Anolis sagrei: one gene and its partners. The protein of the gene in region 3 purifies or fractionates together with the protein of the main gene of each other region. This does not show direct contact. Links are inferred from orthologs where the notes say so. Each region holds a gene or a part of one and is shown on either strand. Other genes may lie near its edges. The genes, in order: DDX21, RPS8, NPM1 and H1-10.

The links.
Region 1: the proteins of NPM1 (region 3) and DDX21 purify together in Homo sapiens (affinity purification with mass spectrometry; 3 studies listed by BioGRID and IntAct, counting the BioPlex papers as one, with this or other methods). This does not show direct contact. The link is inferred for Anolis sagrei from reciprocal best matches to the Homo sapiens genes NPM1 and DDX21.
Region 2: the proteins of NPM1 (region 3) and RPS8 purify together in Homo sapiens (affinity purification with mass spectrometry; 3 studies listed by BioGRID and IntAct, with this or other methods). This does not show direct contact. The link is inferred for Anolis sagrei from reciprocal best matches to the Homo sapiens genes NPM1 and RPS8.
Region 4: the proteins of NPM1 (region 3) and H1-10 purify together in Homo sapiens (affinity purification with mass spectrometry; 3 studies listed by BioGRID and IntAct, with this or other methods). This does not show direct contact. The link is inferred for Anolis sagrei from reciprocal best matches to the Homo sapiens genes NPM1 and H1-10.

What each region holds. Positions count from the first base shown.
Region 1 is NC_090023.1:170,859,289-170,866,964, forward strand, and holds the start of DDX21 (nucleolar RNA helicase 2), read left to right. Parts: upstream 1-4,659; 5' UTR 4,660-4,674; coding exon 4,675-5,010; intron 5,011-7,676.
Region 2 is NC_090024.1:179,414,607-179,422,204, forward strand, and holds the start of RPS8 (small ribosomal subunit protein eS8), read left to right. Parts: upstream 1-4,587; 5' UTR 4,588-4,759; coding exon 4,760-4,763; intron 4,764-5,465; coding exon 5,466-5,572; intron 5,573-7,598. Other genes in the region: GPBP1L1 (vasculin-like protein 1), read left to right, coding at 229-378. UniProt on the Homo sapiens protein: Component of the small ribosomal subunit. The ribosome is a large ribonucleoprotein complex responsible for the synthesis of proteins in the cell. Part of the small subunit (SSU) processome, first precursor of the small eukaryotic ribosomal subunit.
Region 3 is NC_090021.1:142,281,755-142,289,224, reverse strand, and holds the start of NPM1 (nucleophosmin), read left to right. Parts: upstream 1-4,461; 5' UTR 4,462-4,564; coding exon 4,565-4,622; intron 4,623-7,470. UniProt on the Homo sapiens protein: Involved in diverse cellular processes such as ribosome biogenesis, centrosome duplication, protein chaperoning, histone assembly, cell proliferation, and regulation of tumor suppressors p53/TP53 and ARF.
Region 4 is NC_090022.1:56,400,402-56,407,088, forward strand, and holds H1-10 (histone H1.10), read left to right. Parts: upstream 1-4,478; 5' UTR 4,479-4,608; coding exon 4,609-5,334; 3' UTR 5,335-6,186; downstream 6,187-6,687.

The DNA of each region.
Region 1 (7,676 bases), on a different chromosome or scaffold from region 3:
AATTGTAATATATTTGCCTTTAGTGGCCACACAGAAATCCAAGATGTTTCGTTTGCTTTAGGCTCTAGTGCAGTGGTTCTCAACCTGGGGTCCCCAGATGTTTTTAGCCTACAACTCCCAGAAATCCCAGCCAGTTTACCAGCTGTTAGGATTTCTGGGAGTTGAAGGCCAAAAACATCTGGGGACCCAGGTTGAGAACCACTGCTCTAGTGTATTCGTCTAACGCAGTGATCTTATGGGGGTTCTGCAGACACACCCCAAATCTGGAGTCATTTTTCCCAGCTGCTCATTGATCTTATTACCTCCTATCCATACACTAAAAAAATTAAAATCACTTCCTTCTGTCAGTTAGGTATTCGGTTTTGTGCCCTGTGGGGCCCCTGTCCCTTATCCCATCCATTTTTCCCATGGGACATAGGGGTCTGCCTAAATCAGTGCTGCCTTATTTAAAATTGACTGATATGAGGATATAAAGGAGAACATCTTAATCCTGTGTACTTTGTTCACTTTGCTCATACTGAAAATGTCAAGCACCCTGCTATTAGCCATCAAGTTGGTTTTGATTTACAGTATGTAAATGAATGAGAGACTTCTGAGACAAAGTGACTTCCTTTACAGTGTAATGTAATGGGATCTTCCTACTGCTTTTCAAACCTTATTGCAGGCATCCTCAAACTGTGGCCCTCCAGCAGTTTGGCCCCCCAACTCCCAGAATTCCTGACCATTAAACAAACTGGCTAAACCTTCTGGGAGTTGGAGGCCTAAACAGCTTTTTTAATGGATGCTGTAAAGGAAGAGGAATGAATAAACGACAAATCTTATATAAATAAAAATGTAATGTTCGTTTGTGGTATTCACAGAACTCAACACCCACTGGACGAATTGACATCAAATTTGGACACAAGACACCTAACAACCCAATATATGTCCTTCACTCAAAAAAAATTGCTTTTGTCAATTTTGTCCCTTGCTCCCCCTTTTATTTTCCTTCTCCTCTCTCTCCTTTCTATCTTCTCTCCCTCTTTCGTTCCTTCCTTCCTTTGCTTTCTTTCCCTCCCTCTTTCTTTCTCTCCTTTCTTCTCTCCCTCTTCCCTTCCTTCCCTTCTTGACCACTTGCCTGGTGCTGGCAGGAAGGGAGCCTCGCAGCCAGGCGCGGTGCAGGCAGGAGGGAGGTGCTTTCGAGGCAGGCCAGCACCGCCCCTTCTTTTTTCTGCCATGGCCTTCCTGCCTGTTTGCCGGTTGGGCACGCAGGCAGGGTCACATGAAAGGCGCCTTGCAGCTGCAGCAGGAAGAAGGAGCTTGTCGGGATTGGCAGCTTGCAACAGATTTTCCTTCGCGTGGGGGGGAGGGGACATTCGCGCATGCGCTGTTATGAATTTTTGGCTTCTTTGGGGGATTAAGGTTAATTTTTTTTGTTTTATTGAGTGAAGGACATAGATTGCTTTGTGTGCTGTCTTGTGTCCAAATTTGGTGTCAATTTGCCCAGCGGTTTTTGAGTTCTGTGAATACCACAAATGAACATTACATTTTTATTTATATAGACTAGCCGTCCCCTGCCACGCATTGCTGTGGCCCACATGGGGGTTCTGTGTGGGAGGTCTGGCCCAATTCTATCATTGGTGGGATTCAGAAAAATCTGTGATTGTAGGTGAACTATAAATCCCAGCAACTACAACTCCGAAATGTCAAGATTCTATTTTCCCCATACTCCACCAGTGTTCACATTTGTGCTTATTGAGTATTCGTATAGTTTGGTCCAGATCCATCATTGTTTGTGTCCACAGTGATCTCTGGATGTAGGTGAACTACAACTCCAAAACCAAAGGACACTGGCCACCAAATCCTTCCAGTATTTTCTGTTGGTCATGGGAGAACTGTGTGCCAAGTTTGGTTCAATACCATTGTTGGTGGAGTTCAGAGTGCTCTTTGATTGTAGGTGTATTATAAATCTCAGCAACTACAACTCCCAAATGACAAAATCATTTTTTTGAGTGAAGGACATACATTGGGATGTTAGGTGTACGCTGTCCAAATTTGGTGTCAATTCGTCAATATTGAAATCTGAAAGATATACTGAAAGTCTTTGCTTGCAACATTTTTTTCCTTGCATTTGTTCCTGTTGAACTTCATATTATTATTATTATTATTATTATTATTATCTTTATTTGTACCCCGCTAGCATCTCCCGAAGGACTCGATGCGGCTTACAAAGGCCAAGGCCTCAAAACACAACATAACAATACGCAACCTAAATCAAATCAAAAACAGTTAAAGCAATATTAAAACAACAAGCAATAAACCAATACACAATAAAACTGGGCCGGGCCAGAGTATTTATTTATCGTGTCATCAGCAACCATTGTATTACAATTCTAACAGAGCAAAACAAACACAGAGATTAAAAAGAAAAAGAAAAAAAGAAAGAAAAAAAACCCACACAGATTTTGCAAATTTGGTATTTGGGCCAGAGTAATGGGTACAGATTAAAAGTGCTGATGTGGCAGGTGATATGTAGGATTATAGGGCAAGTTCAGTGTGCCAACAATCTTAATTTCTACTAAAGTGCTCTTGGGACTTGTTGGAGGATTCCTATTCTGGAAAGGCACATCGGAACAGCCAGGTCTTCAAATTCTTCCTAAAGACTGCCAACGTAGGAGCCTGTCTAAGATCTTTGGGGAGGGTGTTCCAGAGTTGGGGGGCCACCACAGAAAAGGCCCTGTCTCGCGTCCCCACCAGACGTGTCTGAGACCCAGGCGGAATTGCAAGCAGGGCCTCTCCGGATGAACGAAGTGAGCGCGTGGGTTCATAGACGGAGATGCGGTCACGCAGGTAGGCTGGTCCCAAACCATTTAGGGCTTTGTAGGTCAGCACCTGCACCTTAAATTGGGCTCGGAAAATAAACGGCAGCCAAAGGAGCTCCTTGAACAGGAGGGTTGACCTCTCTCTGTAAGGAGCACCAGTTAATTTATTATTTATTTACTTGTATACCGCAGTTTCTCAGCCCAACAGGCGACTCAACGCGGTTTACAACAAGGATAAAAATCAATCAACGATATACAATTTAAAACCATAAAAGCATAATATACAATATTGACACAACAATAGACAACACAATGCATCTCATAACTGTTAACATCCTGGCCGCTGCCCATTGCACCAATTGAAATTTCCGAGCCATTTTCAAGGGCAGCCCCACGTAGAGTGCATTACAGTAGTCCAGTCTAGAGCTGACCAAGGCATGGACCACCCCGGCCAGATCAGCCTTTGAGAGGTACGGTTGCAGTTGGCGCACAAGTCTCAATTGTGCAAAAGCCCTCCCGGACACCGCCGATTTTGTCAGTTTTGGCCAATCATCTCTCCAATCTGTGAAGCTCGTTTTGAATCCTGCTCCTCTTTAGCTTATTTATTTCTCGTGTCAGGGCAGCCAGTCAGTTATATTACATTTCTAACAGAACAAAGCAAACAAACAGAGAAAATACAAAATGTGTGTTTGATAGTTGATTAAATGTCCCTTGACCAGTATCTGGCCACTTGGAGTGCTTTTGGTGTTGCTGCAAAAAGATCCTCCATTGTGCATGTGGCAGGGCTCAGGTTGCATTGCAGCAGGTGGTCTGTGGTTTGCTCCTCTCCACACTCGCATGTTGTGGATTCCACATTTCTGAAGGTTGGCTCTGCATCTCGTGGTGCCAGAGCGCAGTCTGTTCAGCGCCTTCCAAGTCGCCCAGTCCTCTGTGTGCCCAGGGGGGAGTTTCTCATTTGGTATCAGCCATTGGTTGAGGTTCTGGGTTTGAGCCTGCCACTTTTGGACTCTTGCTTGCTGAGGTGTTCCAGCGAGTGTCTCTGTCTGGATTTAAGTCGTTGACGTGCTAGCTGATACCCAAACAGGGGATGAGCTGGAGATGTCACTGCCTTGGTCCTTTCACTATTGGCTGCCACTTCCTGGCGGATGTCAGGTGGTGCGATACTGCCTAAGCAGTGTAATTTCTCCAGTGGTGTAGGGCGCAGACACCCTGTGATAATGCGGCATGTCTCATTAAGAGCCACATCCACTGTTTTAGTGTGGTGAGATGTGGGTTGTTGTAGGTTTTTCCGGCTATATGGGCATGTTCTGGAGGCAATTTTTCTCCTCAGAGAAAAGGCAAGCATCCTCAGAGGTAGTGAGGTGTGTTGGAAGTAGGAAAAATGGGTTTATATATCTGTGGAATAACCAGGGTGAGACAAAGGACTTTTGTCTGCTGGGGCTAATGTGAATGTTTCAGCTGATCACCTTGATTAGATCACCTTGGTGAGATGTGTTCCACACTGGGCATGCATACTCAGCAGCAGAGTAGCACAGCGCAAGGGCGGATGTCTTCACTGTGTCTGGTTGTGATCCCCAGGTTGTGCCAGTCAGCTTTCGTATGATATTGTTTCTAGCACCCACTTTTTGCTTGATGTTGAGGCAATTCCTCTTTAGCTGGGAATAGTAGAGACCCCGCCCCACACTACATTTCCCAGAGTTCTGCGCGAGGCAGAAGAGGCGCGTGGGCGTCCTCTTTCAAACGCCGGTCTGACGAGAGACACTCTTTCCCTGGCGCCCCCTCAAGGCGGGCCCCTGAACTGCGGGAAGGCAGGCCTCACCCGGCGCTCCTCTTCCCGGCCGCGGCCTAGTCAGGGCTGAGGCGCCGGTGGGGCATGGGCTGGTGGTGCCGCTGCCTGGCGCAGTCCCGGAAGGCCCTCCGCCTGGCCCCGGCCTGCTGGAGGGCGCCATTTTGCGCCGCCCCCCTCAGCCGCGCGCCGCCTCCCCCCTCCTCCCCCTCCCCCTCCCTCCTCTTGGGCGGGGCGGAGCTGCTCCTTCCTTTCACGCCGGCCTCGGCCCCGACCAGCCGCTTCTGCCACCAGCTCCGCGGCGGAGATTGCCAGGCCATGCCCGCAGCCCCCCGCCCCGACGACAACGACGACAACGAGATGGAGCTCGAGGCCGCCCTGGAGCCCGAGGACGCCCTGGAGAGCGGAGGGAAGAAGCGCAAGGTACGCGGCGAGGGGGAAGGACGGAAAGAGGGAAGGACAAGGCCCAGGCGCTTACGTAAGGCCGACCGGGCCTCGTGGCTGACGGGAAGGAGAAGCCGGCCTCCGAGCCGGAAGCGCGGCCTGTTCGTGGCGCAGAGAAGTCAACCAAGAGGAGGCCTCTCTTTCCCACGGGCCTTCCCGCCCCCTCCAAAGTCCCTTAGAGTTAGGCCTCGCCACCCGCGTTTGTGTTCTACGGCCTTTCTGTTCCGCCTTCGCTGTTGCGCACGTGGCGGGCTTTCCCCTCCCCGTCCCACGACGCAGACATTTCCTTTAAAACAACAACAAAACTGTTCCCGTTTTGAAAGTGTTGTTTCTTGTTTAATTGTCCCCAGAGTATATTTCCTCACCCGTATGAAGGTCTATATTTATAACCCCGTTCCTTTACGAGTTTCCCCCCAACATCCCTGTCTCATCCTGATTTTAGTATTTTTAGTATCTTAGTTTTTATTTTGCTCATTGTTATGTTATTTTATTTTACCGTGTTATGATTTTGCTTTATCGTCTTTGTACTCATATGTTGTATTATTATTATTATTAAACTTTATTTGTACCCCGTTAGCATCTCCCGAAGGACTCAATGCAGCTTACAAAGGCCAAGGCCTCAGCACAACAACAACAGACAATAACAATACGATACAAAGCAAATTAAAAACATAAGCAATAACAAAACATTACACTATTACACAATAAAAACCAGGGCCAGGCCAGTGATGGGTACAGGTTAAAAAGGGCTGGGTGTGGCAGGTGGTATGTTGGAATTCTGGGCAAGTGCAATGTGCAGAGAGTCTTAAACTCTAATACAGTGCTTCTGGGACATAGTGCTGAGGGTTATCCTATTCCGGAAAGGCACATCAGAATAGCCAGGTCTTCAAGTTCTTCCTAAAGACTGCCAATGTGGGTGCTAGTCTAATGTCTTTGGGGAGGGTGTTCCAAAGTCGGGAGGCAACCACAGAGAAGGCCCTGTCCCTCGTCCCCACCAAATGCACCTGCGATGCAGGTGGAATCGTGAGCAGGCCCTCTCCGGATGAATGAAGGGAGAATGTGGGTTCATATACGGAGATGCGGTCACGCAGGTAGGCAGGTCCCAAACCGTTTAGGGCTTTGTAGGTAAGCACCTGCCCCTTGAATTGGGCTCGGTAGGTAAACGGCAGCCAATGGAGCTCCTTAAACAGGAGGGTTGACCTCTCTCTGTAAGGAGCGCCAGTTAACATCCTGACCGCCGCCCGTTGGACCAGTTGGAATTTCCGAGCCGTTTTCAAAGGCAGCCCCACGTAGAGCACATTACAGTAATCCAATCAAGAGGTGACCAAGGCATGGACCACCCCGGCCAAATCAACCTTTGCGAAGTACGGTCGCAGCTGGCGCACAAGTCTTAGCTGTGCAAAAGCCCTCCCGGCCACCGCCGACGCCTGAGCCTCAAGCGTAAATGATGAATCCAGGAGAACTCCCAAGCTGCGGACCTGTGACTTCAGGGGGAGTGTAACCCAGTCCAGCACAGGTTGCATTTTATTGTGTTGTTATTGGTTTTACATTATTGTAATATGCTGTTGGGCTTGGCCTCATGTAAACCGCCCCGAGTCCCCATTGGGGAGATGGTGGAGGGGTATTAAATAACGTTTATTATTATTATTATACTTCTTATTATTATTCTTCTTATTCTTATTATTATGCGGTCCTGACTTTAAAAGTAGTTAATAATAATAATAATAATAATAATAACACTTTATTTGTACCCCCTACCATCTGCCCAAGGGACTCGGTGCGGCTTACATGAGGTCGAGCCCAAATACAACAATACAAGCAATAAAACAACAATACAAGCAATAAAAAAACAATACAAGCAATAAAAAACATAATAAAATATACAACATTATCAATAAGACAACACACAGTTAAAAACAGTGGGAAGGCCCAAATGTAAGGTTAAAATTAGAAGTAATGCTGGGACATGGACAAAAAGGTGATACACATATATATACACACACAACACATATACACAGAATGGGCCACAGCAACGCATGGCAGGGGACGGCTAGTGAGAACATAAAAATAATGACAGATGCAATAATAATAAAGCACCTACTTCAGTTTAAAACTTTCCCTGTCTAAAGTATACTGCACTTATAGCTCTAATACAATTTTTCTTTACATACTGTTATTTACCTCTATCTGCTTTCCCTTTATTTCTCCTAGTGTAATCATTGTTTGATTTTTGTATGTTATGAATGGTTCCATTCAAAATACGTATGGCTCTCTGGGTGTAAGATACACATGGGTCTTCGGTTGTGGGTGGATTGCTCCCATCCTTCTCCCTCACATAACCCAACCCAGTCAGTATTTAAAGTTGGGTCTGTCTACCAAGATGGATCCAGATCCATTCTTGGTGGGTTCACAGGGCTCCCTGGAAGTGGGCAGACTACAATTCCCATCATCCTGGGTCATCCCACAGACATGTTACCAGTATTTTAAGATGGCCATGATGGGTATGTTTGGCCCAGATCCATCGTTGCTGTCCATGACGGGGCTCTCTGGATGTGAGAGCCATCCTGGAAAATATATATTTTGAGATAGATAGGGTTTTTTTTAAACATTTTCTTAGCTTGTAATAGTACATTGGATGTTTACAG
Region 2 (7,598 bases), on a different chromosome or scaffold from region 3:
CTTCACTATCATTCCAAGGCCAGTGCCCCCCCCCCCCCCCCCACCACCAAAAGCACCTTCTAGTTAGATAGAAAGGGATGGTTGACTTGCATAAGAAACTTTGACAAAAGAAGCTTCTTTGTCAGAGGCTTTATTAACTGAGGTATACCTGTAACTGAAGTATGATGTGCTTGTTCTTAACTGTATAAAGAAGAGAAATAAATACAAACTTATTTGTTCTTCCTCCAGCTCAGAAGAAATGGCTTTAGAAAGAATGGATTTCTTCAAGGCCGTTGCAGCAGTCAACTGTTCTCCCACTGGAGAAGCACTTTTAAGACAGATTTTGAAGCATCAGATACAGAGACAAGTAGCAGTGAAACTTCAGACGACGATGCCTGAAAAGGGGCACCAAAAACCCACAGTATAAAACCAACCCAGCAAACTCAGTTTGTAGTTTAGCACATTAATGTTTGGGGTTCAAATGAAGCAGAGTTTATTCTGTCTCAAGTCTGTTCAGTTTCTTTTTTATTGTTGAAAACTTCATGCACAAGGGAAAGAATTATATCCCAAAGAAGAAAGCTATTGGCTTATTACTTTTTGGTTTTGCCCTTCTATGCTTCATAGAAAACAGTCCGTGCAGATGGGTGGACCACTGGTCTTCTGGGACAAGGCCTCAGTTCAGTCTCATCAGAAGCAGGATGTAAGGGACTGGGTTGGGCAGCCACAAGCTTCTTATACTGCCGTCCACATGGCAAAATGCTGTGCGGCAATAATGTGCTAAAACAATCATTGTCAATGACAAAATGGCTATGGAAGTTCTAATTGTGTTAAATTAATGCTAATAACATGGAACTTTTTATTTTTTTGGCGGCTCGGGGAGCTTCATCACTTAACCAGGCGTGTTTGGTTTTTCTTTTTTTGGGTACAGCTGTAAAATATTTGGATATAGGAATCGTTTGTGTTCTTCTTGCAACCTTGATATTCAGGGTGGATTGTAAAATATAAATTTTTGTGGGATTTCAAAGATTAAGATTATTTTGATAACATTATTTACAGATTTAAAAAAGTGACTATCACATTGAGTCTGTATGAGGGGAAAAAACTACTGCATCAGAAGATAACTAACTTGGAATAAATATTTTGCATCAGTTTGCCAATTATGTGTCTGTCATTTTTGAAGATATTCTAATAAGGTAACTTTGAATTTGTTAGTATTTTGCTTTGGGTGTTCACAGAGTAGTTCTTCCTTAAAGGCTCATCATTAGTAATTCCGTATATGCTTTTTAATGTAGAAAGTAGTACTGGAATAAATTTTTATCATAATTTTAAAAAACCCAGTTCTATATGCAGATAAATTTTACATAGGGAAGAAAATAATGAACAAGAGCAGCCAACGAGTGACAGAGAAGATAATATTGATTATAAGTGGAAGATCATGAACTCATACTTAAGCTTTTATTTAGGGCACCATAAGGAATTTATATCTAATAGCTTTTACTTATGTCATAGGAATGAAAGAATCTAGTCAGCGTTCTGCATTTGCTGATTCAATTTTTGTGGATTTGCTTTCTCTTAAGAGCTTCTAGGTCATCAATCTTAAGTGCACCTTATAATCAGTGGTGCTTTGAAATCACTGGTTTTGGGTTCTTTTTTAACTTTGTCTTACGTCTGATAGAGGAAGAGGAGGAGGGGCCCTAGCCCACACCACTTTGCCCTCTGGCTCAGCCAGATAGCTTTACTGTTTTCTGCTTCCCATGCTTTCTAATGGGCCCACAGAACTAGGAAGATAGAGTAATACAGACAAGATGTCTTCTGGGTTGAAACAAAGGTACTGTGCATGCAGAGAACATTCTAAAAAATAGCGATTTTTCCCAAAAATTGAAGCTTCAAAAAGAGGGGACTATACCTTACATTTTATGGCACCTTCAATTTGGTGAAATACAGTATATGGCAAAAATAAGGGGTTTGGCACCTAAAAGTCTGCAGAGTTAACCCCTTACCAGTGGTATCACTAATGGTGTATGGGGTGGGTGCATGCAAACTGCACAGGATGGCACCAAAATGAATGTGTAGTGTTTCAGTAGATTTTCTTAAAAACTCAAATACCCTTGTAGTTACTATAACCACAAAAACATTTTTGTGAGCTTAGCTCAGCTACAGTGATTCTTCAAATCACATGGTTTTGTCTCAGTGGCTAAAGCACACCATTTTTTTGCTGGTTTTGTATAGCCACTGATTGTCAGACTTCCATGTATTTTAGTTACAATACTCTGGCCTGGTATGGGAAGGGATCCATGGGGATGACATCACTGTTCCAACACCACTGTTCCTTATGTCTGATAGGTCTTTAGAGTCAGTATCTGTTACATGACAACAGTATAGGAGTATACTTTTGGTTATGGATATTAAATGGAACCCTAACATTGAACTAATGGCTGTACAGTGCTGTGTTACTTCTTCCTACTGAAGCTAGCAAGAGTGAAAGACATTTAAGCATGAAAATATTTGTCACTTGAAAAGAATCCAGGTCATATATAATCCTCACTCAGCCCTTTCTAGGAACTGTAATAGTACCCTACCAGGACCAGGCCTTTGCCCTGAGGGTGTGCTTAAAGGATTCAAGACACTCCTGGTGTGAAAGCAACCTGATAATCTGTTCAATAAAGTCATCTCTGGCATGTGGGCAGACAAGGTATAATAAAGGGCATTCCAGAACTAGCTCCTGAGTCTACTGCAGCAAGAAACAAATTTACTATGTCTAAAACTGTTTTTTGTTTGTTTGTTATATATATGAACATGTTGTGGATGTCTACTGAAAACAATACCTAAATAGATACATTAGACATTGCTCTTGGAACACATACACAACATGAAATATAGGTAGCATAAATTAGTATTTATATGTAGCGCTCAAATATACAAGGTACACAAAGTTCAAACTGGTGACCTTTGGCAGTTTTTTTTTTTTTTACTATTCTTGAGAATTCCATGAAGACCCAGGTAAAACAAAATATTGTCTAAACTGTATTTCAGCAATTTCATACTTTAAAAGAGAATGGGAACCACTAGTCACTTTTTTGCTGATTTACAGGCAGGCTGGCATCAGCATGAAGTGAGGAGGAAAATAGGAACAAAAAGAAGGAAGATCATGAGAATATAAGAAAAGATGAGGCAAAGAAGGAAAGAATGAGGGAGTGTGGGAAAGGGGGTAGGCCAGGCAATAATAATAAATGCTCCTCAAGAGAGCAGGAGCAGAGATCACTGCTTCTGGTGCTCTGCCTCCTTCCAAATGGATAGCCTGGCTGTTTTATTCAGTGAACTCGTGGCAATAAAGAGACCTCATTATAGATGTTTTGTTTATTCATCTACCCTAAAGATCATGGAGTAAAGCTTAATGATCAGATCGCTATGAATCAGGACCTCACTCCCCCCCCCCCCCCAAATAAATCAGTGCTTGCTATAAAAATAGTTCCTAGGCTGGAACATAGTAGCAGCATCTAGCAGATAAGCAATATTATGCCCTCTAGTTTGACCAGATTTGAAGAATATTGCTCTAAGTGCCCATGCAGTTTCCTGCAATTTGGAAAAGTTAATAGATATTATTAAAGTATTGTGGTTTTGCAAAAATTCCAATCAGTAAAATACACGTGTGCTTGGATGACAAGCCGCAAGCGACTCTTGCTTAGTGCATAATGCCTACTAATATCACCAAGTCCTGCCCTCATCACCAGGGAGTCAGGTTTTGACCAGAAATATCATGGTTTGAAATGTTCCTAATCCAGCCTGTTTGAAAGTCTCCACCACACTCCGGGGCAGAGAGTTCCACCAGAACATTATTCCTCATGTTCAGGTGGAATATCCTTTCCTGTAGTTTGAAGCCTAATCTCCAGGGCAGCAGAAAACAAGCTTGCTCCCTCCTCCCTATGACTTCCCCTCACATGTTTATACATCTCTCCTCTCAGCCTTCTCTTCTGCAGGCTAAACATGCCCCGCTCTTTAAGCTGCTCCTCATAGGGCTGCCTTGGTTAGACCACACCTGGAATACTGTGTCCAATTCTGGGCACCACGATTGAAGGGAGATGTTGACAAGCTGGAATGTGTCCAGAGGAGGGCGACTAAAATGATCAAGGGTCTGGAGAACAAGCCCTATGAGGATCGGCTTAAAAGAGCTGGACATGTTTAGCCTGAAGAAGGGAAGGCTGAGAGGAGACATGATAGCCATATATAAATATGTGAGAGGAAGTCACAGCGAGGAGGGAGCAAACTTGTTTTCTGCTGCCCTGGAGACTAGGACTTCAAACTACAAGAAAGGAGATTCCATTTGAACATGAGGAAGAACTTCCTGACTGTGAGAGCTGTTCAGCGGGGGGACTCTCTGCCCCGGAGTGTGGTGAAGGCTCCTTCTTTGGAGGCTTTTAAACAGAGACTGGATGGTCATCTGTCGGGGGTGCTTTAAAGGCGATTTTCCTGCTTCTTGGCAGGGGGGGGGGTGGACTGGATGGCCCGCGAGGTCTCTTCCAACTCTATGATTAGTAATAATAACAAAAGCCCTGACAATTCTCTGGACGATGCAAAAAGTTCCTCTGTGAATTAAACCCCCAAAATAGCTCCTGCCTGTACTTTCTTGTCCGTTTGTGATGACGTTCATAGGTTCAAGCCAACGCCGCGCTTCGAAATCCCGTGCGGGAGGGGGGAAGAAGTATCGCGAGGCTTCCTGGGCCACATCCCGCCCCGTGAGGCCTTGCGCCTTCCTCTTTGCAGTGGGCGCCTCCGGAGAAGGATGGGTGAGTGGCTGCCGGCGCGGCGAGAGGGGGAATCCGCCGCCATCCGGCCCCGCGTCCGCCTCAACGGAGATGTAATGTGGTTAATGGGGGAAAGGACGGTCTTAACAACACGGATGGGGCGTTATCGTGCGGTGTTTTCGGTTGCGGTGGAGAAAAAAAGGCCTCTAGGCCGAGGATAGGCGGCCAGTGTATCAACAGGGCATAGGCCCAAGCCGCAATGGCGGCTTGGGCCTATGCCCTGTTGATATACTGGCCGCCTATCCTCGGCCCAGAGGAGGCCTTTTCCTATCCCACAGGCCGTGTGTTCCTTCGCCTGGAGTTCCCGTGATGAAGCTTCCTAAAGCCGACTGTCTTCTGGGGAGACATTTTACCTTGGAGAGCTGAGTAACTCAGGCCTTAAGGAATCCTTTCCTGGTGGGAAACAATACTGCACACTTTGGGTGCATCATCTACACTGTGGAACGAATGCAGTTTGATGCTACTTTTAACTCCCATGGCTCAGTGCTGTGGTATCACGGGATTTGTAGTTTTACAAGGTCTTTAGCTTTCTCTGCTGTGCCCTCCAAGCTACAACTCTGGGAATCCTATAGCACCGAGCCATGCCAGCTAAAGTGGGGGCAAACTGCATGCGTTCTATAGTGTAGATGCACCCTTTAATGTATTTTTGATGTCACATTTTTTTTTTTTGGTCTGCCCACACAGGTATCTCCAGGGACAACTGGCACAAGCGCCGCAAAACTGGGGGGAAGCGCAAACCCTATCATAAGAAGAGGAAGTATGAGTTGGGGCGACCCCCTGCCAATACCAAAGTAAGCCACTCTTTATTGTTGTACCTCTCCGTTTATGTTTTATCCTGAATGGGAATGTTTCAGCTTTTAATATATGTATTTTTTTCCACTCCCATTTTTATTTGGAATTAGAAAAGTCCACAGTCACCACGTGACCTATAGAGTTTGCATATTTCCTTTGTCAAACTTAAGTTTCATTTTATTTAAAATTTCCCCCCTCTACTTTTCATTTTTCCCCCTTTTTTAAGGCCAATACTGTTCTCTGCTTAATTATTCTTTTATTATTTTTGTTAGTTCTTTGTATGTCTCCCCACAACCTTGCCTTCAGGAAAACAAAACGAAACACATGGTTTCGCTGCCCCATTACAGTTTGTTTTCAATCACCTTGTCATGAAGACACAGCAAAAAAGGGGGTACACAGGTGGAGTCACTATGCTTTGCTTGCATACCCATCTCATAGACACACGCATTTTCAGCCTCAAAAACCTTCCCTTGTTTTTTTTCTAATTACACTCCCTCCCCTTTCTCGTGCCTTCCTCCCAAGTTGCACTTGCTTTGAAACATTAGGGGAAAATACGCAACATTGAACAAAGACAAAAACACTCTTTGCTTTTCTGTTTTGGTTTTCTTTCTGCTCCTAGTCCTCATTGTATTTTTTCCCCTCAGATTTGAAACTGTGACTTCTGGAGTGAATGTGTCGGTGTGTGCATGTGTGTATATGACATGGGTATGCGAGCTTTTAATATATGTATTTTAATGGGTTTTTTAAAACTTTATTTTGCTTTATGTGTTTTAACTATATTGTACCCTGTATTGAGCTGTGAGGAGAGGCAGGTAACATTAAATCTATTATTCTAGTAATTACTAAATAAATAAATGCTATTTGTATTCCACTGTATCTCCCCAAAAGAACTCCGACCTGATTCCAGCAAAACAACAACAAAAAAATACAAAGGGCAGACATTCAATGCCATAATACATTCATCAAAACAAATACAAATAACGAACCAACCAGTTCCCAACATAAACCAACATCTGAGACAAACTTGTAACTCAAAATTAAATAATAACATAACCTATAACATCACATCTCACCTAAAAACATTAAAGACATTTAACATAAATGTATAGAAAATCACAATTAAACATTCAATTAAAATAGTTATTAAATTATTATGCAGTCGAAAAGCCAACAAAGTTGACTGAACCAGAACCAACAGAGCCAGAGTATAATACGATTTGTTGTCAGAGGTATATTAACTATATGTAAACTTCTAATCCTCCTGGATTTTTACTCCTTACCAGAATTGGACCTCCGAAATGCCACTTTCTCATGATGCAGCCTGAAAGATTCCCTGAAAGCGATTTGTTAGGTTGAGTTAATTATTCTCAGAAAAAAAATATTTTATCTAACAAAGGTCTAACGAGTACAATGTGTAACACAATTTTTGTTCCTGGCTTATAAACGTCATTTCCTAATTGGTTCTATCATTTTAAAAAGGAGAACGTTTACTAAACTGCAAAAACTCTGCTATAGCTTTCAAGTGAATATCTCATTGAGTTTCAATCAATGCCTTCAACAACACAATTCAGTATAGTTTGTGGTTACAAAAAACCCCCAAAGTATCTGGAGTATAACAACTACTTTCAAAGTAGGTACTGCACAATGAAACACGAATATCACTTTCTCGACCAGCAACAGAAATATTTTATTTGAAAACTGCACAGACGCTTAAGAGTTTGCAGCATTACCTGCAGAGTGTGTGTTCATGAGTGTCATAGAGTTTTCTTAGGCAAGAAATTCTCTTCCTCTGAAATAATAGCCTACAGCACCTGGTGTGCCTTAGCAGTCTCTCATCCAGGTTCTAATCAGACCTCACTTTGCTTAACTTCCTAGACTGGATCTGGTGCCTTTGGGGGTATTTAGGCCACAACAAATGTGAGAAAGACTAATATGAGACAGCACTTGAAATAGTTTCCTTAAAATCTAGCTTGCTCCCCGTAAAGAGTCAGCATTGATTCCCATCTTGTACTCTCCTGTATGTAG
Region 3 (7,470 bases):
TCCTCACAATAACCAAGACTCATGTCCATTTATTGAGAAGATTTACCTCTGAAGAAGCAGCTGAAGATATTGGAAGAAAGGATTCTGGTTGGGGTAATGAGTTACTCTTTTTAAAAAGTGCCTCAAATAAAAAGCCAAGCCTCAGCAACATGGGATACATGTAATGTGGCCTTCTTCAGGAGATAAAAACTAATGCATAAATAACAACTGGTGTTGCCCAGGTGTTATTTGGACTGCTGCTTGCCTACTTTCTCCATTTCTGCAGCTCTGCATGGGCCTACCTCACAATGTTTCCGTGGCAACATGGCTCTCTTTGTGGCTCTTTCCTCCCTCCCTCGTTTCCCAGTGATATCACAGAGGGCCACTTCAACTAGCAACAGCCTTTGTGGTACAAACATACTTGGATTATATATAGATGATTATTACTATAACTAGAAACAAAGGCCCCTTCCACACAGCTGAATAAAATCCTGCATGACAGGATTGCATTGCCTGTAAGGGAGGCTCTTGCCAGGAGATTCCTTCAAGATATGGGGGTTCTGTGCGGGAATTTTGGTCTAATTCTATCATTGATGGGGTTCAGAATTCTCTTTGATTCACATTTGGGCATACTGGCATATTTGTGCCAAGTTTGGTCCAGATCTATCATTGCTTGAGTCCACAGTGCTCTCTGGATGTAGGTGAACTACAACTCCCAAACTCAAGATCAATACTCACCAAATCCTTCTAGTATTTTCTGTTGGTCATGGGAGTTCTGTGTGCCAAGTGTGGTTCAGTTCCATCGTTGGTGGAGTTCAGAATGCTCTTTGATTGTAGGTGAACTATCAAGCCCATCAATCACAACTCCCAAATGACAAAATCAGTGCCTCCCCCAACCCTACCAGTATTCAAATTTGCGTGTATTGGATACTTGCATCAAATTTGCTCCTGTAAATGAAAATACATCCTGCATGAGTCCCTCTATGGAGGTAGAGAAGATTAGGATATAAAAGTTTTAAGTAAATAATAAATATATATTAGATATTTACATTATGATTCATAACAGTAGCAAGATTGCGGTTATGAAGTAGCAACGAAAATAATTTAATGGTTTGGGGTCACCACAACATGAGGAAATATATTAAGGGGTTGTGGCATTAGGAAGGTTGAGAAACTTTAGTTTACATTTAGTCCCTGAGGGTTAACGTGTCAAGTCTCAATATCCAATCCATTTTTTTAAAACAGAGCCCTCACATTATCTGGGAGAAATGTTTCTCAAGCACCAAATGGGCTTCTAAAGTAAAGAAATGACTACTGAAGGCCCCTTCCACACATCTGAATAAAATCCCACATTATCTGCTTTGAACTGGAATATGTGGAAGTGTGGACTCAGATAACCCAGTTCAAAGCAGGTATTGTGGGATTCTCTGACTTGGTATTCTGGCTTTATATTGTGTGGAAGGGCCCTAAATTAGTGCTTACCAGGTCTCCCCTAGGGGTCTTGGGGTGCATCTACACTGTTGAATTAATGCAGTTTGAGACTTGCTGCTATGGACTTATGGGAGTTGGAATTTGGAAAGGCAATAGCCCTTCTTGGCCCCTTCCACACAGCTGTATGAAATCCACACTGAACTGGATTATTATATGGCAGTGAGGACTCAGATAATCCAGCTCAAAGCAGATATTGTGAATGATATTCTGGGTTATATGGCTGTGTAGAAGTGCTCTTTGTCAGAGAGGTCTAAAGACCTTGTAAAACTGCAACTTCCATGATTCCACAGCACTGAGTCATGGCAGTTCATATTGTGTCAAACAGCATTAATTCTGAAGTGTGATTAATACCACAAGGCCCCTTCCACGCAGTTAAGTAAAATCCCACATCTGCTGTGAATTGGGTTATATGGCAGTGTGGACTCGGCGCCCTTCCACACAGCCATATAACTCAGAATATCAAAGTGGAAAATCCCACAATACCTGATTTGAACTGGGTTATCTGAGTCCACACTGCCATATAACCCACTTCAAAGCATGTGTGGGATTTTATCCAGCTGTACAGAAGGGCCCTCAGATAGCCCACTTCAAAGCAAAGGGACAAAACAATCTTCAGGCGGGGGGGGGGGGGGGGCTTTTATTTTATCATCTCACCGCTGCCACCAATTGAAATGGAAAGCAGGGCAATCTTCAGGTAGGGTGGATCATTTCTTCCATCATCCCACCGCTGCCACCAATTGAAACAAAGTAGGGCACTCTTCAGGCAGGGGGGTCTTTTATTTTATCATCCCACCGCTGTCACCAATTGAAACGAGCAACCACTTCAGCAGGGTGGACCTTTACTTTGTTATCCCACCATTTGTGTCCCTTTAAGTTGGAGGTGAGAGGTTGACAGACTTTGCTTAAATTGAAACAGTAACTGTTAAGTTTATTTGCATTGTTGTGACAAAGGCGTGCTGGTTTGCAAGAGTATAAATGCTTGTTAGTTACAAAAATGTGAATATTCCTTTATGAAGATGATACATTCCAGCCTTTTCTTTTTCCCAAAAGGACTTTTTATATTAACACAAGAAAACTGATTTCTAACTGCCTTGAACCTGACATAGAGATCCTGACCACTCGGTCCTTTAAAACCTCTCTACTGTCATTAGCCTCCTGGTATCAGTCAACTACCCTAGGTATCCCCTAGCTAATTTTCCAGCTGCCTCCAGCTGCTTACTTACTTAGGCGATCCCTCGTAGTCCAAGGATGATGGTCCTCCAAGTGTAGTGTCCTGGCAGTGGGTCTGTAGGTGACTGTGGAGCCCTATTCTTGATCTGCATCTTCTTTCGCAGTGAGGGCATTGGTTTCCAGGTGGAAGGCGGTCCCGGTCGGGGTTGGCTTGATGCGCCTTCCTCTTGGCACGTTTCTCTCTTTCACCTTCCATTCGTGCCTCTTCAAATTCTACAGCACTGCTGGTAATGGCTGACCTCCACCTGGAGTGCTCAAGGGCCAGGGCTTCCCAGTTCTCAGTGTCTATGCCAGAGTTTTTAAATTGGCTTTGAGCCCATCTTTGAATCTCTTTTCCTGTCCACCAACATTCCGTTTTCCATTCTTGAGTTCGGAATAGAGCAATTGCTTTGGGAGACGGAGGTCGGGCATCCAGACAATGTGGCCGGTCCAGTGGAGTTGATGGCAGAGGACCATCGCTTCAATGCTGGTGGTCTTTACTTCTTCCAGCACGTTGACATTTGTCCGCTTGTCTTCCCAAGAGATTTGCAGGAATTTTCGGAGGCAGCACTGATGGAATGGTTCCAGGAGTTGCATGTGACATCTGTAGACTGTCCACGTCTTGCAGGCACATAACAGGGTTGGGAGGACAATAGCTTTATAAACAAGCACTTTGGTATCCCTACGTATGTCCCAGTCCTCAAACACTCTCTGCTTCATTCGGAAAAAAGCTGCACTCGCAGAGCTCAGGCAGTGTTGTATTTTGATGTCAATGCCGAATTTTGTGGAGAGATAGCTGCCAAGGTAGCCGAAATGGTCAACATTTTCTAATGTTACACCATTAAGTTGTATTTCTGGCATTGGAGAGGGATTGGCTGGTGACTGCTGGCAGAGCACTTTAGTTTTCTCAATGTTTAATGACAGGCTGAGCTTCTTGTAAGCTTCTGCGAAGGTGTTTAGAGTGGCTTGTAGGTCATCTTCTGAATGTGCACAGACGTTGTCATCAGCATAACTAACTCAGACTCCAGCTAACTCACCAACTGACCCTTTTCAAACCAACATTCTTTTCTCCATTGGCAGTTGGCTCCGCCCCTTTCTTTTCTGCCTGGAAGCTATGTTGCTATGGCAATGCCTAGGCCTGAGGCCACCAATCAGCTGACAATAATAAACATACCTAAAACCTACATTTTAATTATACATTTTGTTACACCTGCCTTGATATTGTGGGTTATATGGCTGTGTGGAAGGGCCCTCAGATAACCCAGTTCAAATCAGATGTTGTGGATGACATGCCTTGACATTGTGGGCTAGATTACTGTGTGGAAGGGCCTCTTAGTCAGCTGCCAGAAAACAACATCAACTAAGAAAGCTATTAGGGCCCTTCCACACAGCCCTCTAACCCAGAACATCAAGGCAGATCATCCACAATATCTGCTTTGAACTGGGTTAGCCGAGTCCACACTGCCGTATGAGCCAGTTCAATGTGGGACTTTATATTGCTGCGTGAAAGGGCCCCTAGAGGAGGAATGGAGCGATACAAGGCGCCGCCATCTTGCTCGGTGGGCTGCTGCGCGTCTTCTCGCTCTCTCAAGAGACGCACAAGGTGGAAGTTGGGACGCGCATGCGCGGAGCAGAGGGCTCCTTCGCTCCCTTTTTGGCCCCCGCTTGCCTGGCGACCGCGTGCGCCCCTTCCGAGCACGCTCGCGCCTGCGCACCCAGCCAGCGGATGGGCCAGAGCATCACTTCTCGCGAGACCTACGAGGGCTATATATTGGGGGAAGGGAAAAGAGGCGGGCCCTTTTCTGCGGGTGCGCTAATTCCGTCCGTTAGACCCAGCAAGCGCCCTTCGGCTGAGGAGAGAGAGAGAGACGACGCTGTTGAGGAGATGGAAGACACCGACATGGACAGCATGGGCTCCCTTCGGCCACAGACCTTCCTCTTCGGTAACCATCCCGCGCCCCCCCTCACGCTGCCTTCCCTGGCTCGCCATGAGGCCTTCCCACGTGGCTTGGGCCTCCCTTAACCTCGGGGTCTTGCGGGCCTCCTTTGTCCTCCCTTCGTCCTCAGGCTGGACGGGAAAGGGAATCTGCCGCCACCTCATGAGGCTTGGGCCTAGCCGTCTTCCATGTGGCCTGTGGAGCGAGAAGGAAGGCCCCAAGCCTCTCGGCCCCGAATCTAGCCCGAATCAAGCTCTTCTTTACTTGATTCTCCCTCTGCAATAGGATCCGTGCGCCTTGGGGCATGATTATTATCGAGAAGGCGAGCTCGCTGCCTCTCCTAGGTTAGGATTTCAAAGCAAGATGGGGCTCCCTTCCAACTCCATTATTGCTCCATCTCAGAAAAAGCCACAGGACCCCCTATATCCCAGAATATCTGCCTTGAACTGGGTTATCCATACTGCCATATATTCCAGTTCAAAGCAGAACATGTGGGATTTTATTCAGCTGTGTGGAAGGGGCCCAGCCTCCTGCAAGAATCATGCAAGGCCTCAGGCCACTTCCACACCACTCTATATCCCACTATCTAATTCCAGATTATCTACTTTGAATAGGATTATTACTATTATTATGCTTATAATAATAATAATAATAATTCCTGCAAGAATCATGGATAGAATCATAGAGTTGGAAGAGACCTCATGGGCCATCCAGTCCAACCCTCTGCCAAGAAGCAGGAATATTGCATTCAAAGCACCCCCAAAAGATGGCCATCCGGCCTCTGTTTAAAAGCATCCAAAGAGGGACCCTCCACCACACTCCGGGGCAGAGAGTTCCACTGCTGAACGGCTCTCACAGTCAAGAAGTTCTTCCTCATGTTCAGATGGAATCTCCTGCTAGGCCTTAGGCCACTTCCACTCCACCCTATATCCCACAATCTAATCCCAGATTATCTACTTTGAATAGAATCATAGAATCAAAGAGTTGGAAGAGACCTCATGGGCCATCCAGTCCAACCCCCTGCCAAGAAGCAGGAATATTGCATTCAAATCACCCCTGACAAATGGCCATCCAGCCTCTGCTTAAAAGCTTCCAAAGAAGGAGCCTCCACCACACTCCGGGGCAGAGAGTTCCACTGCTGAATGGCTCTCACAGTCAGGAAGTTCTTCCTAATGTTCAGATGGAATCTCCTCTCTTGTAGTTTGAAGCCATTGTTCCGCGTCCTAGTCTCCAAGGAAGCAGAAAACAAGCTTGCTCCCTCCTCCCTGTGGCTTCCTCTCACATATTTATACATGGCTATCATATCTCCTCTCAGCCTTCTCTTCTTCAGGCTAAACATGCCCAGTTCCCTAAGCCGCTCCTCATAGGGCTTGTTCTCCAGACCCTTGATCATTTTAGTCGCCCTCCTCTGGACACATTCCAGCTTGTCAATATCTCTCTTGAATTGTGGTGCCCAGAATTGGACACAATATTCCAGATGTGGTCTAACCAAAGCAGAATAGAGGGGTAGTATTATTACTATTACTATGTTTATTTTATACCCCACTTTCTCTCTCCAGAAGATGACTCCAAAGTGGCTTAGTTTTTCCATGCATTTTAAACTCTACAAACATTAAAATGGAATTGAGTAATATCATTGCTATCTCTTTTATGTCCACATCTTTGTTTTCAGGATTGTTCATTATTTAGTTTGTCAGAAGTGACTTGAGAATGTAATAATATATAAAAAACCCCACAAAGTTAAAAACTGGGACTTATCCCAAAATTCCTTTGACCAGAAGTTGGCCACTTGGAATGTCTCTTGTATCGCTGTAAGTAGGTCCTCTATTGTACATGTGACAGGGCTCAGATTGCGTTGTAGTGAGTGGTCTGTGGCTTGCTCTTCTCCACACATGCATGCCATGGACTCCACTTTGTAGCCCAATTTGTTAAGGTTGGCTCGGCATATCGTGGTGTCAGAGAGCATTCTGTTTAGTGTCTTCCAAGTCACCCAACTTTCTGAGTTTCTCTTCTGTTCCCAGCCACTGATTGAGGTTCCAGGTTTTAGCCTGCCACTTTTGGACGCTCGCTTGCTGAGGTTCCAGCGAGTATCTCTGTAGTTATTAGGAAGCTGTTTCTTTATTTAAGATGCTGGCTGATATCTGAACAGAGGATGGGCATGCATATTCAGCAGCGACTTTCATTATTATTATTATTATTATTATTATGTTTATATCTTGTTTTTTCTCTCCATACGGAGACTCGGAGCGGTGCACAACTAAAAGCAACTAAAGCATTGAAATACAACTTAAAATACAAAATACACACATATTAAATACAAAATACACACTTATTAAGCAACATTAATATTAAAAAACAGGTTAAAGCCTTAAAAGTATATAAAATCACAGCAGCCATTTATGGGTTAGTGCTGTACAAGATGTGCCTCTTTGTCTTCTGAGGCTGGATATATACTGCCGTATAATGCCGTTTTAATCTTCATTATATGGCCAGTATAGCTGCAATATGTGAGTCTACACTGACCATGTGATGCAAATTCAGACTGCATTCTATAGCAGTATACATCCAGCCTCTGAGCAGTGCTTTGAATCCCTGGTCCCATAAAAAGTACAGGTATTTTGAGCCTCCATTATCAGAATTCCCCAAATACTCCCAAAATTGTCCTCATGGCTGAGAGTGACTCCTTCACTTTCTGGTGGGTCAGTGTACCCAAACTTGGTCTCATGCTCAAAATTATTAAAACTGATTTGTATAAATTTACCTTGAGGCTTTGTATATAGGCCACATCAGTGGCCTATATACTGTGTATAGAGGTTGAGTCTCCTTTGTCCAGAGCAACTCTGGTTGTTCATAC
Region 4 (6,687 bases), on a different chromosome or scaffold from region 3:
TGCTGTTGCAATTTTAGAATTTTTTTAATACTGGTAGCCAGATTTTGTTCATTTTCATGGTTTCTTCCTTTCTGTTGAAATTGTCCGCATGTTGCCATAGAACGTCAGGAGAAATGCCTCTAGAACATGGCCATATAGCCCGAAAAAACCCACAAGAACTGAGTGATTCCGGCCATGAAAGCCTTCGACAATACAGTAGTTTCCTCATTAAAAGCCTTATCTGTCACAAAAGGCTGAAAGCTTATTTAAATAAAAAGGTCTTTACCTGCTGGTACAAAGGCAGCAGGGAGGGGACTAGACTTCCAGGGTAAAGGACTTTCATAACTTAGGAGCAGCTGCTGAGAAGGCTCTCCCTCTTATGTGCTCACTAGATCTGCCTAAGATGAGGCTGGGACTGCCTATAGGGAGACCTCAGTGGACCTAAGCAAAGTAGGATTATAAAGGTCACAGCCAGCACTTTGAATTTGGCCCAGACATTGAGTTGTTTCAGCTGGGGTAGAGATACTGTATGATCCTTAACAGCTGCCTGTCATGCTGATGATGCCCAGCTTCAAAACTGGAGATAACCTCTCCCATTAATTTCATGTTGACGTCAAAGGCCAACTGTGTAATACCCCTTGCCTTTTTTCAGTGGAGATTTAAACAAGAGTATCAAAGACCAGGGTAGGAACTCTAACGTTCCAGATGCGTTGAACTGTTTGTCTGGAGCAGTGGTACCCAACCTGCGGTCCATGGAGCACCAGTGGTCCACAAGAATGAAAATATGGTCCACAGCCTCATAATTACTACACCATTGCCTTGAAACCACACGGCAACGAGAGCAACTGGTCTCGCAAACCCTCTTATAGTGCCGAGGCAACAGGGATGTCGGGAGGGGAGAGGCTGACTACCCACGAACGATTACTTCTACACATCAGCTCTAGATTATTAAATACTGTTTTCTGTGGGTAAGCAGATGGCAACTACTGGATGGCATGTGTTCTACATCAGAAACCAGAGCTGATGTGGTCTATCCAATGCAGTTTTCTGAATCAGTACCCTGAATAACCAAATCTAAAGTTGATTAAAACTGATTCCTAACCCTTTTGGTACTAATGTGAGAGAGTGGTCCCTGGTCCAAAAAAAAGGGTTGGGAACCACTGATCTAGAGTCTGTAAAGCCCCTCAAAGCAGTACTGGACTCCCTGGTGGCCCTCCATACCAGTCAGGTCGAAGTGGTCAGGAGCAGCCCTTCTTGTCCCTTTGAGAACCTAAGAAGCTGAGTGAGATGATGGTCCAGGGGCAGAAAGCAGGTTCCTGTTCCCCAAAAGTCACGACCCGGGAAGGGTGGGCAGGAAAGGGTGGGGAAACCAAGGAGGAGGGGGGAGGACGCCTCAGATTTGGGGAGGGGAATGGGAGGGCGGACATGGCGCCGGGAGAGACCCCCGCCCGAGCTGCCTTTTTGCAGAAGCCAAATGGAGAGGAGGGAGAGGAAGCGGGGAAGGAGAGGAAGACGAGGAGGAGAGAGAGAGAGGCAACTTTTCCTGCACCGGAGAAATAGCATTGGTGATGGAGGAGGAGGAAGGGGCGGATTCCTCCGCTCTTGGGAGCCTTCAAGGTCTTCCTTTTACAGAAAGCAATTCTCCTTCCCCCCTCCCCCGAGAACCAACGCTACCCTCCCCCCCCCTCTCCCCCCCCCCCCGCCACCTCTCAAAGCCTTGCCCCCGCCGTTTTCTTCCTGGAGGCGCTCTCTTCCCCCCCCCCCCCCCACCTCCTGTTCTCCGCCTCCTGTGGTCTTCCCCACCCGCCATTTAAAGGGGCAGAAGCACGGCGTTGTCACTGAACCCCTCAGAAAGATGCGGGGAGGAGACTATGAGGCCCCGAAAGGGCAGTAAGAGGCGACAAGGAAAAGCAGCCCGGGTAGCCATGGCCTCTCACCTCCAAAGAGACGTGGATGGGAAGCCAGTCCAGAGAAATGTGGGCGGCCCTGCACTGGAAACACAGCCACCCCTACCCCGCCCATCGCCTTTTGGGAACCAAGAGAACACTGGGTCTGTGGGCGAGGGAGAGTCGAGACACGCTCGCCACAAAACCCACCTCATTGAAATCACCTTCTGGTCCGGTCTTGGAAACTAAGCAAGGCCTGCCCTGGTTGGTATTTGGATGGGAGTCCACTAATGAGTACCAGGTGCAGCAAGCTATACCCCAGGGAAAGGAACTGGCAAAACACCTCTTGAGTATTGCTTGCGGAAGAAAACCCTGTGACAGGCATGTAGCCGGGGGGGGGGGGGGGCGGCCTCGGGGGGCTTCAGCCCCCCCCCCCCCCCCCGAAATTTTCATGGTGGTTCGCGAAAAGGCCTTACTGGTGCATTATTTAAACTGTTATGTTTATTCATATCATGATCTGATCACCATACTCAATATATCCCATATGCATGGGGGTATTGGGGTAATGATACAAAAGGTTTGCTAGGCTAGACCCTCTTTCACTCAGACTCACCCCCCCCACCCGAAACTCAGCCCCCCCCCGAAACCCCCCCTGAAAAAAAACGAAACGAAATCCTGGCTACGGGCCTGCCCTGTGAAATGGACAGGGTTGCCATAAACTACGGGGTATTTAAAAGACCACACATAGAAAGAAAGAAGAACAGGAAGTGGGCCACCATGAGCACGCCCTTGGGAGACCCCAGTCCCCCTTCTCCCAATCCCGCTTTTTAAACGAACCATAGATTGAAAGGTGGCCATTTAGTCCAACACCCTGCTAGGCTAGGATACACAACTAAAAATGACTGTCTAACCTCTTTTTTTGGAGTAGGCATGGGCCAACTTGGGCCCTCCCTCCCGGTGTTTTGGACTTTAACTCCCACCATTCCGCTTAAGCGGCTGAGGGGGGAAAGGAAAGGGCCTGAGGCTGTGAGGAATGGTGGGAGTTAAAGGAGGGAGTGCCCAAGTTGACCCATGCCTGCCTTAGAGGGGAAAGCACCCCCCACAGAGAGCCATCCAAACCTCCATCCTCCAAGGCTGTACTTCCACTGTATTGTCGAAGACTTTAATGGCCAGAATCACTAGGCTACTGTGATTTCCTGCACCGGAGAAATAGCATTGGATATATGGCCATGTTCAAGAAGCATTCTCTCCTGACGTTTCACCTGCATCTATGGCAGACATCCACAGAAGTTGAGAGATTTGTTAGAAACAAAGTAAGTGAGGTGTGTGTATGTATGTATGTGTGTGTGTATATATGTATATATGTATATATCTGTAGAATGGGGTGGGGTTGAGCTCGACTGTTGAGCCTATTGAGTATTCCTTGCTGAAGAAAATCCTGTGAAATGGACAGGGTTGTCATAAACTACTGTGTATTTCAAATAAAGAATAACAGGAAGTGTGCCATCATGAACACCTCCCCCCCCCCCCCCTTGGGAGACCCCAGTCCCCCTTCTCCCAATCCCGCTTTTTAAACTGGAATCATAGATTGAAAGGTGGCTTTTGGGGGGGGGGGGGGGTGTTGAAGTCCAAAACACAAGAAGGGCCCAGGTTGGCCCATGCCTACTCTAAAAAAAGAGGTTGGACAGTCATTTTGTAGTTGTGTATCCTAGCCTAGCAGGGTGTTGGACTAAATGGCCACCTTTTATTCTTTCTTTTAAATACCCAGTAGTTTATGGTAACGCTGTCCATTTCACAGGGTGGCTATTTAGGGGGGAGGGGGAGTTGAAGTCTAAAAAACAAGAAGGAAGGGCCCAAATTAGCCTATGCCTACTCTAAAAAAAGAGGCCGGACAGTCATTTTTAGTTTTCTAGCCTAGCAGGGTGTTGGACTACATGGCCACCTTTCAGGCTATGATTTCAGTTTAAAAGGCGGGATTGGGAGAAGGGGGACTGGGGTCTTCCAAGGGAGTGCTCATGGTGGCCCACTTCCTGTTATTCTTTCTTTTAAATACCCCGTAGTTTATGGCAACCCTGTCAATTTCACAGGGTTTTCTTCAGCAAGGAATACTCAAGAGGGTCAACAGTGGAGGGTGGGGTTGAGCCTCTTTAAATGCCAAGCGCTTCTTCCTAAAGTGGAGGTGGGATCTTGTTTTCCCCGCTGTCATTTGAATCCATTGCTGCCGACCGGCCGCGCGAGGGCGTCCCGTGTGTTAGTTCCCACAAATTAACCGGCCTCCCCCTCACCTCCAAAGCGGCCCCGGCGGATCCGAGCCGGACGATTGGACAGAGGGCCCTCTTCTCTGCCCCGCAAGCGCGTTCACGGGCCCGGGAATCCTTTGGGCGGCGACCCAGAGGCCCACGAACAGGGCGCCCCCCTCCTCCGCCTGCGCCCAGCATAGGGAGCGCCCCCAAAATGGCCCGAGAGGGGCCTTTCCCGGCCTAGCAGCGCCGCCACACCCCCGCAGCCGCCTGGGGCTCCGCCTGGGGAAGCGGGCCGCGCTACTGCGGTGTCTCTGCATGCCTTGAGGCGAGCGGGAGAGCTCCGCGAAGGGCCTTGGAAAAGCACAACTCGGAGCGGGCCTCTTGGGCTCTTGTTGTTGTTCTCAACACGGTCCGCTAGTGGAGTATATAAAGAGCTGCGGCAGCGCGCGCGGCCTCAGAACGCGGTTTGCGAGCGGAGCGGGAAGGTCTTCGGCGGCTGGATGTTATCGTTTTCGGCCATGTCTGTGGAGCTGGAAGAAGCCGATTTGCCGTTGACGGAGGCCGAGGAGGCGCCCTTGGCTCCCGAGAAGAAAGGCGCCGGCGCCGCCGCCAAGAAGGCCTCGGCCTTGTCTCCCTCGAAGAAGAAGAAGAACAGCAAGAAGAAGAACCAGCCCGGGAAGTACAGCCAGCTGGTGGTGGAGTCCATTCGGAAGCTAGGCGAGCGCAATGGCTCCTCGCTGGCCAAGATCTACAACGAGGCCAAGAAGGTGCCTTGGTTCGACCAGCAGAACGGCCGCACTTACCTCAAGTACTCCATCAAGGCCTTGGTGCAGAACGACACCCTCCTCCAGGTCAAAGGCACCGGCGCCAATGGCTCCTTCAAGCTGAACCGAAAGAAGCTCGAAGGCGGAGCGGGAGAAGGAGGAGGGCCCGCCATCGCGCCCCACGTTAAGCCCCACAAAAAGGCCGCCGCGGTGGTCGCGACGCCCCCGAAGAAAGCCGAGAAGAAGCCCAAGGCGCTGGAGAAGAAGTCGTCGCACAAGAAGGGCGCCTCCCCGTCCCCAGCCGCCGCCAAGAAAGAGAAAGCCAAGGCCAAGAAGGCGGGGGCGGCGGCGGGCAAGAAGAGCGGCGCCCCTTCGCCCTCTTCCTCCGCCTCCGCCTCCTCGCCCGCCGCCAAGAAGGCCAAGAAGGCCGCCAAGCCCAAGCCCCTCAAGAGCAGGAAGTGAGGGAGAAGGAGGAGAAGGAAGAAGGGAAAGGCCGCCCTCCTTTCCTAGGACTCAGACTGCGCTCGAAGCACAGAGCCACCTTTTTTTTCACCCTCGCTTCGGTTGTGTTTACTTTTGGGGGGCAGGCAAAGGACACTTTTCCCTCCATGTTTTTTTGGATATGTTTTGTCGTCAAGGTTGCTTTTTTATCCTTGCTCGTGTTATACCAGGATGGGGGCCTTGGAGGTGTTTTGGACTTCAACTCCCAGCATTCCTCACAGCCTCAGGCCCCTTCCTTTTCTAGGGAGGAGGGGGCAAGCTTGTTTTCTGCTGCCCGGAAGACTAGGACGCAATGGAACGATGGCTTCAAACATTTGAAAGGAAGGGGCCTGAGGCTGTGAAGAATGCTGGGAGTTGAAGTCCAAAACACCTCCAAGGCCCAAGTTTCCCCATGGCTGTGTTATACTGTTCTGGAAGACCCATATTTTTGTGTGTCGGTGGAGAGGGGAGGGTGGGGGTCCTATTTCGCTTTTTTTCTTGATTTATTCAGTGACTGTCGCGTATCTGAGCCTCAATTCGTTTATTGGCTTCCATTTCCTCTTGAATTGGGGGGGGGTGCCTTTGAGAGAGCTTCCAGCAGCTGAGGGGGCGCCTCGTGTCGCCATGGCAACCTGGCCTCCCACCACCCCCGCCCCCCTTTTTTGTAATTGAAAGGACCTAGTCGGAGAGGGAGACGCCCCCCTTTGCCTCCATCTTGTACTGTACTGCCTTCATGTCTTCGATTGCCTTTTTTTAAAGGAGGGTATTTGTGTTTTCTTTTGTGGGAAGGGGAGGGATGGGGTTTTTTGTCAATAAATGGTATTTTAAAAAGCATTTTTCATTCGCTGCTTGCTCGCTGTTTATGAAGGGGGGAGGTCAGGGGTGTAGCGTCATGAAGAGGAAGCTTCAGCTGCAGGGTTGGAGAATTAAATATATGTGAGGAAGTCCTAGGGAGGAGGGAGCAAGCTTGTTTTCTGCTGCCCTGGAGACTAGGACGCAGAATAAAGGCTTCAAACGACAAGAAAGGAGATTCAATCTGAACATTAGGAAGAACTTCCTGATAGCCGTTCAGCAGTGGAACTTTCTGCCCTGGAGTGTGGTGGAGGCTTAAACAGAGGCTGGATGGCCATCTGTCGGGGGTGCTTTAAATGCAATTTTCCTGCTTCCTGGCAGGGGGTTGGACTGGATGGCCCATAAGGTCTCTTCCAACTCAATGATTTTATGTAGAGATGCTTCCCCCTCTTCTTAAAGTGGTTCCTCCCTTGAGTCCAGCGCCAGTAAAGGGGGCGATGGGAGAACCCACTTTAAGAAAAGGGGAAGGTACCATTCTTTCCA